Canis lupus familiaris: one gene and its partners. The protein of the gene in region 2 purifies or fractionates together with the protein of the main gene of each other region. This does not show direct contact. Links are inferred from orthologs where the notes say so. Each region holds a gene or a part of one and is shown on either strand. Other genes may lie near its edges.

Region 1 (4,291 bases), on a different chromosome or scaffold from region 2:
GCGGTCCAGGAGGCCATCCTGGATCAGTTGTTCCTTGATGGCATGGAGCCGCTCAGGGCCCTCAGGAAAGCTGGGTTGACAAGACATACAGTTACACACCCACACACACACAGACTCTCTCTTCCCCCTCTAAAATGCAATCTTCCCAGAGGCAGGGGTTCTGTTTGTTTTGTCTACCACGGCATCCCTAGCTCCTCAGGAGATGGCAGACATGTATTCGAGAATGAAATCTTTTGCCATCATGAGTCTTCTGTTGGGAGAGGGGACATACACACATAAGTGTGATAAATGAGCAAACAATGATATAGACTAGGAAGGCCTCCAACAGCAGGTGTGGGGGAAGGGGAGCAGACAAAGACCTCTTGGAGCAAGTCTCCTTGAGATGGGAATGTTAACTGGGTGAGGAGGAGGTGGAAATGAGTTTCTGGAAGAGGGGGCCAGCCAGGGTAAAGACCCGAGCTGACAGAGTGCCTGGCGATGCTGGAGGAACAGCAGGGGGACCAGTGTGGGTGAAATGAAGCTACGCGAGTGACTGGCTGATGAGGTCACTGAAGTGGTGTGGAGCCAGATCACGTGGTATGTTATAGGCCAGAATGAAGAATCTGGACTTTACCTTGAGGGCAATGGTATACCCTTGAAGGATTCTAAAAAAGAGAACAGGACTCTAACTAATGTAATGCAGTATGTCAACTATACTTCAGTTAAAAAGTAATTAAAAAGAGAGAGACAACATCATCTCACACGTATTTTGGTTTTCTTTGGCTGCCATGTGGAGAACAGACAGCAGGGTGAGGGTGAAAGCAGGCAGCCAAGGAGAAGGCCTCGGCCAAGTCTAGGTAAGTGATGGTGGTGGTGGCAGTGGAGGTGGTAAGGAGAGGTCAGGTACTGAATACATTTCCAACACAGAGCCAAAAGAATTACAACATGTGTGAGCAAATGGGAGGTATAAATTCTTGCATTTCTGCATGAAATATCCTTTCTTCAAGGAAGCCTTCTGCGAACCCCGGAATGCTAGTCTAGGGTCCTCTATCAAACACTCTTGAATCCCCTAGTCTGGGGTTATCCTTCGTTAAATACTTCACACTGCTGTTGGCTGTTTAATGATTTGCTCTCCTACTCAACTAACAGCTCCTAGAGAAGGGGCCCTGTCTGTCTGGTCTGACATGTCTGTATCACCAACTCCTGGAACACAGTGCATACTCAGGAGGTGTTGGCCAAATGAAAAGAATCTTTTCAAGCCTAAGCCTCCCCACTTGAAATCATCTGCTGCCAGTCTCCAGGCTAGCATAAGAATGGCTTCGTTCTTGCTAATGGGCTCTAAGGGCATTTATTTTTGTGGTTAGGGTACCGTCTGGAGGAGCCAGCCTCACCTGTCATCCCAGAGGCAGTGGAATTCATTTAGTTGCTCATCAAACACCAAGCCAGTGCCACAAAGTGTCTTGGCCTCAAGGTTCAGATCCTGCAGGGAGAAAAAAAGGGGAGAAACCGATCCACTTTGGGCCCGAGTCAGAAGGAACACACACTGTCCAGGAGGGAGAACCACAGGATTCTGATTGTCACAGGAAGCTAAATCCATTGAGCCCAGGCCACTCTCACCAGCCCTTGCAGGCCCACGATTAGGTCTTGCTCTGCTGCTTGGCTGAGCTTCTTCATTCTGCCTTTCTTCTTTACCTCTGCTAGACTAGGGCTGGAGTGGCGTAAGGCACCCTTCTTAACACCTCGCTTCTGCCAAACAGAGAGAAGGGTCAGATTCCAGGGCACGGCCTACTGCTCCTCCCCCCCATCAGGCAGGTTTGGGGCCTCACCGAGGTGACGCTGGAGTCGTGGGGGGGCGAATGGGGGTTATGCCTACTCCTTCGCTGCCTGGTTGTGGTGGAATCCTGGCCGGTGGAGGTCATGGTCGGGGAGACTTCACCCCTGATGCGGCTCTGGGGGGTGGGGTGGCGGTGACTACGAACAGGCTGGAGTGCCCTGAGGGCCTCCCAGACCCCGCCCCCTATACAGTCTCCATCCCTTCTGCTATCCTACTCCCCACCGCCTTCTAAACTCCACCCCTTTCAAGGCCTTCTCCTTCCACTGGGGTGTCCATTCCACCTGGTCCCGCCCATCCCAGTAGGCTCCACCCCCTTAACACTATTCTTTCCCCTTTAAAAGTCTTGCCCTTTCGCGGAGCAATAAGTCCCCAGGCTCAGTCCGTCCTAGCGCCGGCCCTTTCCAGCTAATCACCGCCCTTTCCGCTCCCCCAAATCACATTCCCAGACTCTTTCATTCCTCCAAGCCTCGCCAAGACCCCACCCCTTCACAAATCTGCCCCTTCCAGCTAATCTCCCAGAATAATCACCCACCCTTTCACTCAGCCAGACCCAGACCCCGCTCCGGCCCCGACTCCACCCTTAACGATCCACTTAACTCCACCCCTTATCAGGCTGGACCGACACCTTCCACTTGGCCAGATCCCGCCCCTAACGTTTCAACGAGCCTCGCTCCTCGGGGAACTGCCCCTTTCCTTCCACCAGATCCCACCCCCTGCTCAAACCCTACCCTCAAGCTCCAGCAAATCCCTTCAGCCAGTTTCAGGCCGCCTCCCACCAGTCCCCTCCCCCTTCCGACCCCACAGCCGACGCCGACCAATCCCTTCGGCTCCACTCACTGAGCGCAGCCCTTTTTTCAAACTCCGCCCAGGGCTCCCGCCGCCAAATTCCTGGCGACCTGCGGGACGGCGGGTGCTTGAGGCCCTCTTTTCCATTGGGCCGGTCTCTCTACTGCCCGCCCCGATCCGCCTACACTGTGTGTCGGTGCTCAGGGCCGCGCCCTTCAGGCGGGCCATACTTCCCGCGAGCTCACAAACGCCGTGGGTACGTCAGCGCGCGACGCTGGCTGTGCTGCGCCTGCGTGAAGCGTGCCCCCGCGGTTCGAGGTGGCGCTCAGGCTCTAGCCCGCCCCTCCCCCAACCACCGCCGCTGCCGTCCTGGCTCCCGTGGCCGCTGTCTCTCGATCCTTGTCCGGTCACCTTAGGAGTCCTCCGGACCCGCGCCAGTTGTCCTGTACGATGACTCAAGAGAGCAAACAAGCAAGCGAGGGAATTAGGAAGGGGCGGTTTCTTTTCTCCCGGTGGCTTCCTGCGCGGCGCGCTGTGATGACGTAGCGCGGGCGGGCCGGCGGCAGGGCCCCGGAGCGCGGTGGATATTGGAGGATGGCTGGTGGTGGCCAGAATGGGAGTGGTGACGATGTTAAATGCTGTGAGGCTTTTCCGAGTTAATATTCACTAAGGTGGCCCACAGGAAGCACTCACTAAATGTTAGCTGCTGCTATTCTGCTGGGAATATGGTTGGTAGGATGGAAGGAGGTTTACTGAGTGCAGTCGTGATGATAGCAAGTAATATGTGACAGGCACTGTCGTAAGCCACAATTCTGTGAGGTAGTTCCTATTATTAAGGCTGCTTTGGAGATAAGGAAACTGAGGTTACACGACTTAGCCATGTGACCCTTAGCAAGTTGCTGAACATCTATGTGCTTCGGTTTCTTCATCTGGCAAATTGTGATAATAGTGCCCGGGGCTTGAATAGACTCATGGAGAGTTTTTCTTGGATGGCAGTTCTCCCTCCAGCCCTCTCCATTGGGTAACCTCTGCCCCCAAGCTGTAGGGAAAGCGTGTGCCTGGGAAGTAGGGGGAGTTGCACCCGTGTGCCCCTCCAACTCCCTCACACCCCTTGTCTAGATGTCTAAATATCAGCTCCGCAGGAGGCCGGTTTGTCCTCCTAATCTCCCTCTCTCATTCTTCACCATTTCCTACCGGGCTGTAGGCTGGGGCTGAAGAGATAAGCGGTCTGGGGTTCAGCATGCTGACTAACAAATAGATTGACAGCCCCACCACCCAGTAGCCTGGCCCTATGACCCTTTAGAAAACCCCAGTTCCACCCTTCTCTTTCACTCTTTTGCTACCAGAACATGGTTTTGTTTTGTTTGGTTTTATTTTTTGTCCCAGTGGAAGAGGATCAAGTCCTAAGACCTTTAAACCTCCACATGCACCAAAGAAAACATGATACACACTGAGGAACATTCTGGGGTTGTAGTGCCCTCAGAACAGTAGAGTAGGGAGCACCCGGTAAGACCCACGGCCCATTTTTCTGTATAGTCACAAGACAGATTCCTGAAGAGCAGAGGTCAGTGAACTTTTCTGTAAAGAGCCGGATAGTAAATATTTTAGGCATTGCAGGCCACATAATGGTCTCTGTGGCATATTCCTTCTTTTCCTTTAAAAATGAGACTGGTTGAAGTCTGGCTTTGTCCT
Region 2 (4,119 bases):
TATCGAGGTTTCTACGACAGATGTCATAGATGGCCTCATTGTCTACCATGAAGGCACAATCAGAGTGCTCCAGGGTGGTGTGGGTGGTGAGGATGGAGTTGTAGGGCTCTACTACAGCTGTGGACACCTGGGGGGCAGGGTAGATGGAGAACTCTAGCTTGGACTTCTTGCCATAATCGACAGAGAGACGTTCCATCAGCAGGGAGGTGAACCCAGAACCAGTTCCCCCGCCAAAGCTGTGGAAAACCAAGAAGCCCTGAAGACCCGTGCACTGGTCAGCCTGTTAGAAAAAAGGAATAGAGAAAACCTATTACTGCTCTTTGCTATATCATCATAAGTACACAGATTTCCACTTTTCATACAGCTCCAAGAATATAGATCTTATTTTGACAAGAAATGCTTTTAAATACATGTAGGCCTTCCTAGACTTTCTAAGCATTTCTTAATTAAAAATATCTTCATTAGTATTTGTAAAACAGCACCCAAGTAGTTCAGGTTTCAATTGAATTAAAAAAAAAAACAAAAAACTGTAAAGGAGTAGTTCACCTCACTCCATTACATTTCAATTCTGCATTTGAAATGAAAAAAACAAAACAAAACATCGTATCTCAAATGTCTTCCTTCGGATCCTTATTTACTTTATTCTTGAGAATAAACATACCAGTTTCCGAATTCGGTCCAAGACAAGGTCAATGATCTCCTTGCCAATGGTGTAGTGCCCTCGGGCATAGTTATTGGCAGCATCTTCCTTGCCTGTGATGAGCTGCTCAGGGTGGAAGAGCTGGCGGTAGGTGCCAGTGCGAACTTCATCTGGAAAAGGAAAACAAGGTGGCCACCCATCACTAACAACCTGCATGACCCTGCTCAGCCCCAGGCTGTCAGTGGAGCCTCAGACAGACCTCCTGCCCCAGTGCCCCGGGAGCTCACTTGGGTTACTGAGGCCAACTCACCAATGACTGTGGGCTCCAGGTCTACAAACACTGCCCTGGGCACATGCTTGCCAGCGCCCGTCTCACTGAAGAAGGTGTTGAAGGAGTCATCTCCTCCCCCAATGGTCTTGTCACTTGGCATCTGGCCATCGGGCTGAATGCCGTGTTCCAGGCAATAGAGCTCCCAGCAGGCATTGCCGATCTGGACACCTGCCTGGCCAACGTGGATCGAGATACACTCACGCTGCGGAAAAAACAGATAAAAATAAAAATCAGTCTTAAACTAATCTAGTAATGACGGCAAAGCAGAACAAAATTCATGTCATTTCTACAAACTTCCCCTTCTAAAACTAGTTAAAACACAATACTTTTAGATCTCTAGGGGGGAGAATCCCTTTGCTTTTTGCTCTGCATCGCTTTTAACGAATTTCTGTTCCCCACCTCTATTGGGAAGGCCCTTTTTTCCAGAGCAAGAGAGCTTAGTCACAGCTTCCTCCTTTGGAGGATGAAGATAGATAGCCATTCATCCAGGGCTCGGGCCTCTGAATGCCATTTTAGACTGGGCAGCCAGATTTCCGGGCAGTTCCCATCACAGGAAGCACGTGGCCAGAGCAGTGCGGAGGAAACGTCTGGCTGCAGGGACAAAGGGCGGGGCTTTGCGGCACAGGATGAATGAGCAATTCAGGGAGTGCGCGCGCCCGCGCCCCTCTGCGGCCGGCGGGGCCGCGCAGCTGCAGAGACACGCCGCAGCCACGTCTGCAGAAGGTCTGCCTCCGCCAACCCTCTTCCGCTTCCCCAGGCGTTGGGCTCAGCCCAGCACCTCCACATCTGTCTGGGCAGGGCAGGGGATTATCGGCGGCCCAGATCTGGAGCAAGATCCGATTTCCGTCCCCTCGGAACGCCTCACCGCCACCACCTGCTCCTACACGCATTCCTAACTCATACCGAGTTAAGGACAGATGGTCTCTAGAAGCTGCTGGGAGCTAATTGTCCCGATACCCTGACGTAACGCAGCACACTGACAAGGAGCTGTTCTCCTCCACATTCATCTTACGGCTGTCGTTGAAAGAAAGAAAAAAATAAATAAAAAAGGAAAACTCAGGCTACCAGGAGCCACGCCCTACAGCGGCAGGCCCGCAGCGACCCGGCGCGCACGCGCAGACTGCAGGGGCGGTCTCCCGCCTCTCCCTGTGGCGGGAAGGTAACGGTCGCGCGTGCGCTTTTGTGTCCGGCTCCTTCCCGCCTCCGCGCTCCTGGCAGAGGAGGAAGTGAGGGCGTGCAGAGCCCGCGCGCGCGCCCGCCAAAAGCGGGGGAAGGAAAGGGGGGGATGGGAACGCGCGGGAAAAAGGCTGTAGGGTCTCGGGCCGCCGCCGCGCCCCAAGAGGTAAGGGCGAATGGAGAACCCCGACCACGGTCTCGGGAGCCGGCGCCCGGCCATCCTCTCCCACAGTCCGAGACGAAAACGCGGCGGCCCCCCGTCCTGGCCCCAGCTGTTCTCACTGCTCCCGCCCTCGCCTCGCCTCTCGCCTTCCCAAATCAGGGCGCTCATCTCCGGCTGGCGCCCCCTCACCCACCCCCGCCCCCGCCCCCGCCCCGAGACCGCCAGGCTCGCTTCCCCCGGTCTTCCAGGGCAAGGGCGGCGCCCCGAGCGGCCCACTCACCATGGTGGCTGCGGGGTAGCAGGCGCAGGCGACAGGAGCAGACACCGGGTCCCGGTTACCGTCCCCGACAAGCTAAGAGTCGAGGTAAGTAACGCACTGAGGCGGGGGCGCCGCCGGAGCCTCTTAAGTAGCGGTCCGGGAGGGCGGGCGGGCCCGGGCGGTGCCACGGCCGCGGGCCCCTCCTCCCGCCCGGCGCGCCCACTCGGCGCCCGGCTCGGCCGCCGCAGAGGCGGGCTCCTGGCCCAGGGCGCCCCCTCCCCCCGCCCCCCCCCCGCGCGCCGGCCGTGCGGGGCGGGGTCCGCCGCGCCTGCGGACAGCGAGCTCGGGTGCTGCAGTCTGCGGCGCATGGCTGCCGGGGCCCGGGCGGGGGGCGGGGGCGGGCGCGGGTTCGCGAACCAGCACGGGGACGGGAGAGGAGGCCTGCCTCAATTTGGACGAACCCTAAGACTTAAGAAGTCCGTACAGCGTTAAAGCTGAAGCACCATGAAATGCAGAAATTTCTGGTCCGGATAGCTCAGCTGATTATTTTCAGGTTGCTACAATTTGTCAGTGAGTCTCGCCTTTTTTTTTTTTTTCCCCCTTTTCTCAGCTCCTTTAAAGGCGGTGCAGTCTTTACTTAACCTGATAATGTGGAGGATGCAAGGTTTAGAAAACAGACTCGTTTTATTTGCTTAATGACTTGCTCGTTAAACTAAGGTGGCAGACGTTGGATGCAAAAGCATTTGAGTCATTCAGAGAGTAATACCTAAGTTTGAACATCGCAGCCGTTAAAAGGGCTTCCTAGGCCCCGTGTTTAGGCATAACCAACAATTTTATGGAACAGTTCCAGGGGCTTTCAAAAGGGAAATCCAAAGATACATTTCAAATAGGAGAGCTGAATTGTAGAAGTGAGGGCAGAAACTTGGATAGTGAGGAAATTGTTGACACTGAAGGATGTTAGGAAGTAGGGAAACCTCGTGTTATTTAGAGCTTTGCAAAAACTGTATGTAATAACTGCTTTCTGCTGGTCAAGATAGATCAGTTGATTATAGCGTCCATCTAGGAGGCCCAGATTATAGTGGATATCCACTCCCTCCCAGCTCTGCCTTTGAGGAGACTATTCCATGACCATAAAGTATATAAACCCTTAGAAATGCATAAAGTGGTTAGTTAGGGTTAAAATGGGGCTTTAAAATGGGCCTAGCAGAAACCTATTGCTGTTACGCTGCTCCTCAAAATCTCCTCCCAGTGATAGTATGTTAGTAAAGAAAAAGTAAATATAAAACAGTAATAATTTACAGTTTACATTCAGTTATTACCTTACTTAGACTTGGTAAAAACTTCACCCTTCATATCAGACAAATAACAGATTTACACTGTTAATATGTCTGTAGTTTATAAGGAGATATATATATATATACATACACATATATAGGGATATATATACATATATGGATATATAAGGATATATGTATGTATATATATATATAAAGATATACACACATACACAGATACAGAAATATTTTTACTTCTTATATATATGTAAATTT
Region 3 (4,201 bases), on a different chromosome or scaffold from region 2:
GGCTCTGGTTCCTAGATTTAAGCCCCCTACTCTTTACCTTGTACTATCTGGCCTCAGCTACTATTAACACCTCAATTTATAGAAATTTCCGGCAACACAAGAATCATGTATACTTCAGAAATGTAGAGATCCGCCTGTTTCAGTAGCTCTCCAATGATTAGGACATTGGATGTGGTACCATCACCAGTTATGTCATCCTGGGCTGTTGCTACTTTGGCTATTAGGGAGGCTGTTGGGTGTTGAATTTGCTGAAAGTGGAAAAAAAGAAAAAAAAGAATTACTTCAGTGAAAATACTCCAAATATACTTTAAAGCATGTGAAGGGTCTCCTTAAATGCATCGATTTGCATAAACTGCCCAAGTGTTCAGCTATATACCATGCTGATTTAAAACTCACTATTAACTATTTTGTATATCAATTTATGATAACCCAAATATTTTTACATATAGATTTGAGAAGATTATCTCCACTTTACTGATGAGGAAATCTGAGGCTTACTGTTAAGGTCTACTGAAGGTAACAGAATTAACAGTAAGAAATAATTTCAAATCCATGCATGCTTCTTTAGGACTCTTGGGAGAATAAACCAGGTTCCTTCTAAAATTAAACCCCAGCAGCCTCCAGTATTACTTGGAATTGAATAAAAAAATAAAAAGAAAAAAGTTCTCTTTTAGAGCAAAGATCACTAGTGACAGCTAAATCACTGAGAGGTTTTTAAGAACAGGATATGCACTGTATGCCAAACAATGCTCCCGAACTGTTTTTAGTTTTTAAATCTCCTTATTCTCCTGTAATCCAGAAGAGTTCCACAACCTTTTGTTTTTAGGGAAACTGACAGTTTAAGAATCTAGGCCAGATATTTTGCAAACTATCTCATTTAAATTTGTAGATGATAAATATATTATATGGATAATACTGTATGCTTCTTACTGGGTTCATGTGCTTCTCTGAGTATCTACTGTATTACACAATAAAAAACTCAAAACACGGGGGGGAGGGTCATTTCCTTTACTTGGTTTTTAAGTGCTAGATTTTGGAAACTTAGGGATGAGTAAAACAACTGCTCTTCTCAACAGTCTCATACCCTTGGTCAGTGGGGATTTAACAATTAGAGTAGGGATCCCTAGGTGGCCCAGCGGTTTGGCGCCTGCCTTTGGCCCAGGGAGTGATCCTGGAGACCCGGGATCGAATCCCCCGTCGGGCTCCTGGTGCATGGAGCCTGCTTCTCCCTCTGCCTATCTCTCTCTCTCTGTGTGACTATCATAAATAAATAAAAAAAAAGAATTAAAAAAAAAAAACAATTAGAGTAAAGCAGAGTTTTATCTCGCTTTCATTTAGAGATGGGATGTTGACAGAAATCACCCTCTTAAAGAGAGAAAGCAAAACCATTTTGTACCTACCTATATCAATCGCTTTTTTTTTTCAAATTTTAATAGTTAATTTAAACTACAATCCCTTTTTTTAAAATCTATTATTTATTTATGATAGTCACAGAGAGAGAGAGAGGCAGAGACACAGGCAGAGGGAGAAGCAGGCTCCATGCACTGGGAGCCCAACGTGGGACTCGATCCCGGGTCTCCAGGATCGCACCCCGGGCCAAAGACAGGCGCTACACCGCTGCGCCACCCAGGGATCCCAAGATTTTATTTATTTATTCATGAAAGACACACAGGCAGAGACACAGAGGAGAAGCAGGCTCCATGCAGGGAGCCTGACGCAGGACTCGATCCAGGGACCCCAGGATCACGCCCGGGCCAAAGGCAGGCGCCAAACCGCTGAGCCACCCAGGGATCCCCAATAACTAACAATCCTTTAACCACGGATTTACATGGCAAGATTAGGGCTTCAAAAAGAAGTTACCAGACTCCAGGGTTCCTCCTGGCATTGAACTGTCACTACGATTACTGATTCTATTCCTTTTCTACTTCCTCCATGGTCTGAAAGACCTGCTGAGCAATGGTGAACTTCTATCTTGAAAATGAACATTAAAAATCTTCCTGCAAATCACACGTGATATGGAACACCAAGACATTTTTGACTTAGCATACCAAGCGGCCTCTCACCATTTCATGAAGCAGCACATTGCCATCTTTAGTAAGCTTGATGTCTCCAGCACCAGACACGAGCCTGTTCAACGAGCACAAATGAATCAGTGTGACGTTCTCATCGGAGACCTAGTCCATAGTCCCACTGCAGTCGGGCTTCACCCAGATCCTCGGGAGTTGGGGCCACGCGGCTGCTTCTCTGCACCCGGCAGGCAACAGGAACGGTGCAGCGCCCCGCTCTCCCTTCAGAGAAACAGCTGGCCGAGCCCTCGGGGTCTCCACGGCGCGAGCCGTGCACGCAGGCCGCTTTGTTCTCCGCAGAGGCGGCATCAATTAGAAGGGAAACGGACTGAGCAGGGCGCGGGGGCCACCCGGGAGCGTGCGGGCCGGCAGGGCGGCTGCGGCGAGTGCAGAGGCCCCGGCCGGCCCCCCTCCCCCGGCCCGCGGTGCCCGCGCAGCCCATTTCCCCTCCTCCCGCCCTCCTCCGCCAGGCTCGCGGCGCCCTCCCCTCCCCCCCACCGCCAACCCCGCCTTACATCTTCATGGTGCCCTTAGGCCCCAAGTTGGTCCTCAGCACGTCCTGCAGCCCCCGGGCCGCGCTGATGTTGACCGCCAGCGCCGCCTGGGCGCGGGCCACCTCGGCCTTGGGGTTCAGGGTCTTCACGGCCGCCATAGCCGACCAGCGGAAGAAGAGGAGGCTCGGCGCGCTGAGGGCCCGCAGCTGGCTCGGCGTGGCCGGGAGGCGCTACCCGGGTCTTCTGGAAAAGTCGGGCGCGTCGCCACGCCCCCAGCGTGCCCGCGCGCCGCTGCCATTGGGCCGCGGCGCTACTGCCCCGCCCCCGAGCGCCCGCCCCGCCCCCCGCGGCCGCGCGGCGCCGCCATTGCGCCCGGGAGGGCCCTGTTCCGGGTCGGAAGGGCTCGTCGCGGTCCGGCGTGGCCGCCGGCGGGGTCCGGCTCTGCAGCCCCGGGACCTGAGGAGCGAGGCGGGGCGGGGCGAGGCCGCGACTGCAGAGTGAGCGTGGGCCGCTCTCTCCTGGAGGTCTCTGGCCGCAGGGGTAGGGTGGGCTTCCTCCTCCCCGTCGCGCGTGTTGCCCTGCTTCCTCCCCTTGCTTCCTGCCTCGCCGTCACCGGCGTTTTCTGGCCTCCCTACGGTGTGCTTGGAAGGGCTCTCGGTGCTGCGGGGTGCAGAAGTGCACCTGCTCGGGCCCCCGCCCGCTGCTGTCGGTGTTCGGAGCCCAGGGAGGGGAAGATGGCGCGCAGGATGGAAGGTGCTTAGGGCCTTTTTAGCGAGCTTCGGGGTTGGTGCACTGGCGGCGCGGGACACGCTGCTCCCAGGCAGGTGGTCAGACTCAGACTTGCTTGAGTGGTGGTCCCCGTGCTTTGAGAGGGCTCTGTTTTAGTACAAAATTCCGAAAGGTGTGCAGTTGTTTTCTAGTATCCAGTATTCACCACCCCCGTATTATTCAGTAATGTCTTGTGTTTCGTTTTTATAATAACGAAAACCGTTAGAATTCAAAAGTTCCAAAGGGTGTATGATGAAAAGCACGCCCTCGTCCCTCTAGTTCGGCTTCCTTCAGACAAGCACAATTACCCTTAGATATTCTAATTTCCCAGGTGATTTATGAATTTATAAATGTGTATAGTTAAAAGCATTTCCCCCCCACACAAAATGTCAATTTAGAATACACAGTGATGGGTGTACCATACTTAAAGTATGTTGGTGATTGTACCGTATCAATACAAATAGGGATTCCGCATTAACAGCTGCCTGATATTCTTTGTAAGAGTGACAGAATTAACTTGTCATACACCGGTTGATATTTAGGTTGTTCCTAATCTTTTGCTATTGAAGCTGCAGTGAATATCCTGGAATATGATGCTTTTAAGTGGCTTTGTATATTTGAGAATCTCAACAGCACATTATAAATCTGATTAATGGCATTACACAGGAGACTTGTGCTTATCTTACTTGGTATGCATGCGGATTTATTTACTGTGCAGATGTGTGGGAGATATGAGCAGAGATGAAGATTGGAATTTTCAGGCATGTGTTTGCAGGTAGGAAAGGGGAGTGGATCTCCTGAGGTGCAAATTTAAAGGGGCACCAAAACTCAGTAATTGAAATCAATAATATTTTAACGCGATATTTTTAAAAA

The links.
Region 1: the proteins of tubulin alpha-1B chain (region 2) and HDAC6 purify together in Homo sapiens (affinity purification with western blotting; 4 studies listed by BioGRID, with this or other methods). This does not show direct contact. The link is inferred for Canis lupus familiaris from reciprocal best matches to the Homo sapiens genes TUBA1B and HDAC6.
Region 3: the proteins of tubulin alpha-1B chain (region 2) and CCT6A purify together in Homo sapiens (affinity purification with mass spectrometry; 3 studies listed by BioGRID and IntAct, counting the BioPlex papers as one, with this or other methods). This does not show direct contact. The link is inferred for Canis lupus familiaris from reciprocal best matches to the Homo sapiens genes TUBA1B and CCT6A.

The regions. Positions count from the first base shown.
Region 1 is NC_049260.1:42,207,992-42,212,282, reverse strand, and holds the start of HDAC6 (histone deacetylase 6), read right to left. Parts: upstream 2,845-4,291; 5' UTR 2,828-2,844; coding exon 2,651-2,827; intron 2,561-2,650; exon of another isoform or gene 2,542-2,560; intron 2,486-2,541; exon of another isoform or gene 2,346-2,485; intron 1,929-2,345; coding exon 1,806-1,928; intron 1,726-1,805; coding exon 1,597-1,725; intron 1,460-1,596; coding exon 1,371-1,459; intron 71-1,370; coding exon 1-70.
Region 2 is NC_049248.1:41,187,172-41,191,290, forward strand, and holds the start of tubulin alpha-1B chain, read right to left. Parts: upstream 2,839-4,119; 5' UTR 2,594-2,838; coding exon 2,591-2,593; intron 1,174-2,590; coding exon 951-1,173; intron 811-950; coding exon 662-810; intron 281-661; coding exon 1-280. UniProt on the Homo sapiens protein: Tubulin is the major constituent of microtubules, protein filaments consisting of alpha- and beta-tubulin heterodimers. Microtubules grow by the addition of GTP-tubulin dimers to the microtubule end, where a stabilizing cap forms.
Region 3 is NC_049227.1:457,577-461,777, reverse strand, and holds the start of CCT6A (T-complex protein 1 subunit zeta), read right to left. Parts: upstream 2,814-4,201; 5' UTR 2,719-2,813; coding exon 2,582-2,718; intron 2,128-2,581; coding exon 2,064-2,127; intron 249-2,063; coding exon 114-248; intron 1-113. UniProt on the Homo sapiens protein: Component of the chaperonin-containing T-complex (TRiC), a molecular chaperone complex that assists the folding of actin, tubulin and other proteins upon ATP hydrolysis.